Drosophila melanogaster: one gene and its partner. The protein of the gene in region 1 interacts with the protein of each later gene in a pairwise test. Each region holds a gene or a part of one and is shown on either strand. Other genes may lie near its edges. The genes, in order: CG12477 and CG4270.

What was found.
Region 2: the proteins of CG12477 (region 1) and CG4270 interact in a two-hybrid assay, tested with the Drosophila melanogaster proteins (one large-scale study listed by BioGRID).

The regions. Positions count from the first base shown.
Region 1 is NT_037436.4:18,721,221-18,724,966, forward strand, and holds CG12477 (uncharacterized protein), read right to left. Parts: upstream 2,053-3,746; 5' UTR 1,969-2,052; intron 1,914-1,968; 5' UTR 1,908-1,913; coding exon 1,110-1,907; 3' UTR 673-1,109; downstream 1-672.
Region 2 is NT_033779.5:2,261,803-2,265,047, forward strand, and holds CG4270 (uncharacterized protein), read left to right. Parts: upstream 1-1,639; 5' UTR 1,640-1,755; coding exon 1,756-1,953; intron 1,954-2,013; coding exon 2,014-2,240; coding exon of another isoform or gene 2,241-2,244; exon of another isoform or gene 2,245-2,283; intron 2,284-2,294; coding exon 2,295-2,382; 3' UTR 2,383-2,439; downstream 2,440-3,245. Other genes in the region: CG34049 (uncharacterized protein), read right to left, coding at 2,465-2,618, 2,681-2,907, 2,970-3,245.

The DNA of each region.
Region 1 (3,746 bases):
AGTTAGTGGCAATGTGGGAAAGCCGCCTAATTGAGGCAGTTGAAAATTGAAAAAAAAAATAGCGATGTTTGGTGTTGGCTGCGAAGCCTTTCAAGTCTTCCTGCATGAATGCTAAACGCCAGCTAGTGATTCATTCAGGACCCAGTCAGTCATCCAGTTAGACGGACGAGGCATTTAAAGCGACATTCAAGGTGGCACTTGGTGGGGGAAAGCCGAGTGCATGGGGGCTGGCTTGCTTTATCTACGGACTCACTTTCCAATTATCATATTAAATCAGATGTAAGTCATTGCATGTGTATATATTTGCACAACTTATGCGGCAGAAGGACGTCAGCAGCAGCTCGGATAATCCTTTCAGCCAAAAAGGATACTCACGGGCAAAAACAAAAATAAATACATATAAAGCAACTGAAACACATCAGCGACGAGCCAAGCGGAAAACTGGTACGAGAAAAATCCAGTTGACATTTCACTGAAATGCAGTTAATGGGAATTCTCCTGGCCATCTCTGAAGATAACGATTGCTAATGGGGCTCGCCGTGTTTTCCACGTATTGCGGTTGGCTAGATAATGAGCACATGGCCAAGTGGAAAAGTGAGCAATGTTCGTTTCAGGTGTGGAAAGTGTTCGAAGTGCGGGGTGACCACGATAAAGATAAAGAAACAAAGTTTTCATTTTAGTCCCCTTTATTTAATTGTATAAAAATACATTTCATAGAGATTCATTTTGAAAAGGAAAATTCTCCAAAAGGGATAAGTTACTGCTAGGTTAATACATTGATTTTTTGATATTAAATGCCTGCAGGCTTGCAGGTTATCAGTTGTAAATTCCAGACCAGCACCTATTTTCAAAATGTAATTTTCACTGCTTAGCGCATTTAAAGCTATTGATACTCATATTCAGTTCAGTTCAGTTTAAGGATAAGCCACTTGTGAATGAAATTTAATGCAAGTCAAAATTTAATGCATGCAAAAAGTGTCCCAAATTTCTTGGAATTAAGTGGTGAATGATTGTTCTGTAAGCAAAATTTGGCAGCTACATACAATACATCGCTTCATTTCGTGGATTATTAACTTGGTTTTTTTCTCATCTCCTCCCGTTTCGTCAGACTAGTTTACGTCCGAGAAATCGTAGTCGTCGGAATTGCTGAAATCATCAAAAAACATATTCGGGAAAGGAACCAAAATAAGACAATTGCCAAGTCCCGAAAAATCTGATGGAATCGGTAGCCCTAGAGCATGGGTCGGCAATCCCACATCGACGTAATCTGCGTTGGGTATAGAGTGCTTGTAAAAACACTTGTTGCCAAAGAGGCACACGCCTTGTCCTTGTTTAAAGTACTTGCAGTCCCTTGCACGCATAGCGGCGAGGTGATCATTGATGAGCTGGTCCTTCGCCACCTTTTCCTCCACCCAAAATGCACTGGGACATACAAAGTTAGACCACACGCGACATTCGGGGCAAGCTCGCGTCACTTGATAGGCATACTGTGTGGCATGACGCCATGTGCAAATGCACTGGAAGCAGAACACGTGGTTGCAGCTGGGCAGGATGCCGAAACGCTTATCTCCTCCCTCCTTCTCCATGATCGTCTCGAAGCAAATGCCGCACTTCTTGTCCTGGGACCTGGCGAAGGAGCTCCGCCATGACGGCTGCACGTGGCTGCTCACAGATGATGACCCTTTCACTATGTCGGCAGAGGTGGCAACACCTGACGGACGAACAGCGACTGTAGTGCAGGTAGCTCCAGCCTGTGCCTCGCCCTGCTCGCCGGCAGTAGCAGCCTTGTAGTTGGGCACGATTGCTTCATTGCCCTTCTGCTCGATCTGGGAGCTAGGGCTGTTCGTGCTGGGCACCGGCAATACGCCGGTGTCCACGTGCTGATCGTTGCTTGCGACTGTACTCATTTTTTGCTGCGATGATTGCAAGATGTTTTTTACTGAATCACTGAAAGGTGCGGACAATTACCTGCTCTATTGGATTGGTTTTTTTTTTTTTAAGTCGAACAATCTTTAATGCCGAGTACAATCAGAAAATTCAACTTTGTTCTTTCACACACATGGTATGACTGGCGATTTTTTCTTTCTATAGTGTGACCAGAGTATGTTGTATCCTTAGCCTATTTTCCTAATTGTTTGGCACCAAGCTACTTAGCTACTTACTTGTTTCGCTGGCATGATTTCAGCTTAAAAGCTGAATCTAATCTGGTAACTCTATAATCTACATTGTAAGTGGCAACACCAAGCTCCACGCATCTTTTAATGTTCGAATTATTTTTTAGCGGAGATTAAACAATTTTTCATAGCGTGCTTTTCATATATTGAGCTCTTTAAGATCTGAAAGATAATTACGCATTCAGATTCTGGGAACCCCTATGGATAATCTTTAAAGCAGTCGCTTTACTGCTTGCTAAGACATTCGTGTTCTGCTTGCTACAGCATTTGCTTCGATTAAGCAGAATTATGTACTTTGTATGTATTAGTAGCGTCTTTTGTTTATCACAAAAGTTGTTCAAAATTTCAATAATAGTATATATGTAAGAGTGCAATTAAATGTATCGTAGATTTCCACCGATGTTCTGTTAGTAGTCAGTTAACAAGTGAAATCGCACAAAGCATGCTCTGCATATAATCAGCTTAAAATATCAGCGAACAAACAATTTCAATCAAATTGAAATCAAACGCTGCAGGAGGACGCCTCTGTGCCAATCCTCGCATCCTTCCGAATCGCCCCCCGTCATTACCCGCAGTTATGTTCCAGATTTACCTTGCTACGTGCAGCACCAAGTTGATTGCTCATATGTGTGCGAGGCAAAGGCGATGGAGGTGAAAGTATAATAAAGGCACAGTTACGTATACATATTCTCGCTGTGGGCAGATGGAGTCGAGAGTCACTCGCTGACTCATTCAGTCATTCACTCAGTCAGCCAGTTTGCTGCGTTGGCCCGAGCCGAGTCAAGCAGTCGAGCGCGAAATAAGCTTTGTCTGATGGACTGAGGTAAATGAACAGTGGAGCAGATCCACCAGGTGGAGATGATGCCACATGACACGCGGAGGAGCTGCCAGCGGTTGCAACACCAGCAATAGCACGACAAATTGATGACAAAAAAAAAAAAATAAATTGAAAGCAACTGTTTTTATAAATCTTAATTGAATTTAAACCCCAATATTTTTTCATTCTGCGAACCTATTAGCAAGTGAACTAAAAACTATAACAATTATGATATGACTTGAAATAGCTAGGAGAAATTCCTTAAAGAAGATTCGTTTAAGGATCCCTTTGAATATACATATATATCCTCAATTTTCAGAGTGTATCCAGGTATTGTATCCGCTTGGTTCCGCTTCGCTCGCAGGAGCCACATTTCTCAGCACTGTCGTGTCGTGGAAATCCATTTCGGCTGTTAATGTGACATTTAGTCATTAAAATTTCAGAAGGCGCTACTCAGACAAAGCATGATATTGTTATTATTATTCGCCTGCGTTTGGCTAAAATGCCTGCATGCCAAGTTGCCACCACGCGGAGTAACAGCTGCTGTGAGACAACTGCGTACAACGCGGCGTATGCGTAATGTGCTCACTGCTGATGCTGCTTCATTCAAATTAAATTTGCCCTGGGTCACGCGAGTGTTGTTTCGTATTGCAAATGTGAAGGAGAGTGACTGAAAGGAGGTGGATGACAAATGTGAGGGGGGTGGGGTTGGGGTAGCACTGAAGTACAGAATCAAGAGCAGAGCAAATTGGCAA
Region 2 (3,245 bases), on another chromosome or scaffold:
ACTTACCCTATGCCAAAACATGACCAATTCGAATCAATGGGAATCGGAATTAAAGGCAGTATCCGTATGTGCAACCGAGTGCATCCGGCTCCGGATGCCGTGTGGTTGATGGAAATGCGAGCCTGTTTGCCCAGATACCAGATACGATATATCAGATACCATCTATGTATATAATGCCCGCATGCTCGAAATAAGAGTGCGAGTGTATTTATTTTGCGTATGGCGCGCACTGTACCCTCCACTCGACCAGCAATGCATAAATAAACGAAACCAAATTTGCGAAATTAATTAAATCGACAGAAAAGTAACGTGTGCGCTTTGCGTTTTACGCTTTGACTGTGGCCAGCTTACAACCCAAACAATTTGGCCACCCAGCCACTGAACCACCCAATCCCCCAGCCACCCAACCACCCAACCACACATTTTCCAACTCCGATGGCACCGAAATTGTGAATTGTGCATTGTGCGGATGACGCGACTGTGCATCGCGTTTCTGACAGAGGCCATGGAAACCTGAAATGCAGCGAGCAGGCTTAAAGTTTATTACAATATTACCAGAAATTCTACCAGCGGCTTAAATGGAGCCATTTATCCATTTCGAAAATATCTTTGTCTATAGAGCAAATGAAAATAAGAAATGGAAAAGGGAGCTCCCGATTAATTGAATTGAAATTCATCCTAATCTTTGATATTGATTGAATTATATATTACCAATTAACCAAATTGGCTTTAATCTGTATTAACATTAATACTTATTTAAATTCGCGGCTTAATAAACTATTTTATCCAGCTTTAAGCTTATGGCCGAGTACTTAAGTACTTAGTACACAAATTCACATAAATCAATGAGCTGGGCCATAATTTAGTGCCTGGCACATGAGTATATCAAACGCAATGCTGTGACCCCGCATCCACCTTGCGGCGCACAGGATAATTTCAGCGAGTCAGCCTGTCCTGCGGCTGTATCCGCCTATCTGTACATCGGAGCATCGGCTTAATCTCTGCCGGGAGCAGCGACATCGGCCGGTCCATTGATTTGCATTTGCACAACTCATTAGGGATTCACACTTGAAGCACCACCCGCAGCGCAGACACACACTCACACACTTAAATAATTTAATATTCCGAGTGTTTCGACATCGAAATTTGCACTTCCATGGGCGGCGCTGCGGGCGATTGATAAGGGGCCTCCATGTCGGCCAACTCGCATTATCCAGCTCGATTCAGTCGGCAATTAATGCCACTCCAATTGCCCGATTTGCCTGCACCTACATATCCAGCCATATGGCTGGATTGCGAAAGAATCGCCGGCTCATTAATAACCAAACCCAGTGACATGCATCACTCATACGTCACGTTGGTTAATCCCATCGGCAGATGCAGAAGAAGGATGTGTGATACAGTCTGTCTAATTCCCGTCAATGGATTTGGGCACGCACACGTCCTGTGAATCCGTCACCCACAGCCTGTGTTTGCGGTATCAATCACAATGCTAATACCGATGTTTAGGCCAGATTATGAGGCGGTTTGAAAAAAGGGTTTTTCGGCTGTAAACAAAACATTGTGATTGATGGGTGAGCTATTCAGAACTCAGTGAAAATTTTAATTGACTGCCTTGTATACATGTATAATAACCACTTAATTTTGTAACTTAAAAACGAGAAATGTTGATCTAGCCAGCTAGCTTAAAAAGTCATTAGGCATACGTAAATTTGGTTAACTAAATCACGGCGCCAGCCAATCCCCCAAAGAAATATGGCGAAGAGAAACGTAGCGCCCATTCCCAAAACCCACGAGCGCCCTCCAGGTCCCAGGGGTCAGGATACCAAGGGCAACAACGAGCTCTTCCTGAAGGAGGTCTTCAATACCACCAATAAATATCGGGCAATGCACGGCTGTCCCGCGGTGACCATTAATGCTGCACTAAATAAGCTGGCTCAGGAATGGGCCAATGTAGGATGAGGGATAAAGAGTATTCTATAGTATTTTATATTAATTTGCACCCATTTCCAGCATCTCCGCGATCAGAACACAATGGCGCACAGACCCAATCCCAAGTACGGCGAAAACATTTTCCTCTCCGGTGGAATGGATGTGACCGGTGATCTGCCGGTGGAAATGTGGTATCGGGAAATCAATAGCTACGATTTCAACAAGGCGCAGTTTGTGCCCACCGCTGGACACTTTACTCAGCTCATTTGGAAGTCGTCGGTGGAAATGGGTTCGGGTGTGGCCCGAAAGTGAGTCTTATGGCTATGGCTATGGTAATCCTATTCATACATGTCTTCCAATAGAGCGGATAGAACTTGGGTGGTTTGCAACTACAATCCTCCCGGCAATGTTGTGGGTTTGTTCAAGGATAATGTGCCGCCAAAGCAATAACTCTGGGATTTTTTGATCAAAATTTTAAGCATAATAAAAGCGTAATCTAGGTCCAGTATTTGTTTGTTTTATTTACCATTTTCTATTTTAAATTGTGATGTTTCGATTTTCTAGTTTCCTTGGCATCCAAGTCCGATTTAAGTAGAAGGAATTTTCTAGGCAGGACATTTTCCCTGAAATGTTCGCTTACATTTCCAGGCGGATGGTAATTGCACACAATCCAAATGGAGGAAACACTGCGTGTAAAATGTAGTTAGTTTCGGATTATTTTTAGTATGACTTAAAATTATGAACCCACTCGCATGCCACGCCCACTCCCAGGAACTCTGACTCTCTCCAAACCAACTGGGTAAAATGTCCAGTGTACAAATTAAAGCCTGGCTTTAAGTAATCGTAGTTGTATTTTTCTTGGTACCAGAGTTTCAGTATTTGATCCACGGAGAATTTGGATCTCCGGACACGCATAATATTCTCGCCGTAAAGAGGATTAGGTCGAGTTTCCAGTTTGTTCAGATCAGCCAAATGCTGTGGAAATCAAGTTTAGGTGAAAAAGAAAGGATCTATTTATATTAAATACATCTACATACATCTGCCCACTCCTGTGCATAGGAACAAAGTTTTTCATCCATTTTCAGGGGATTGGCGTTGTGAAGCCTTCGGTACTTATTGGTTTCCCTTAGTACAGCTTGTTTTATAGGCTTGCGTCGAATGATAGGAATTTTGTATATTTCAAATTCCTTTAACAGAGACTTCTTATCTTTTTTCAGTTTTTTCGACTGAATGGAACTTCTGGAAGATGTTTTGCACTTGGGAGCTGCGCATTGTAAACACCTTTTACCATGCGACCAATCCTTTTCTGTGTT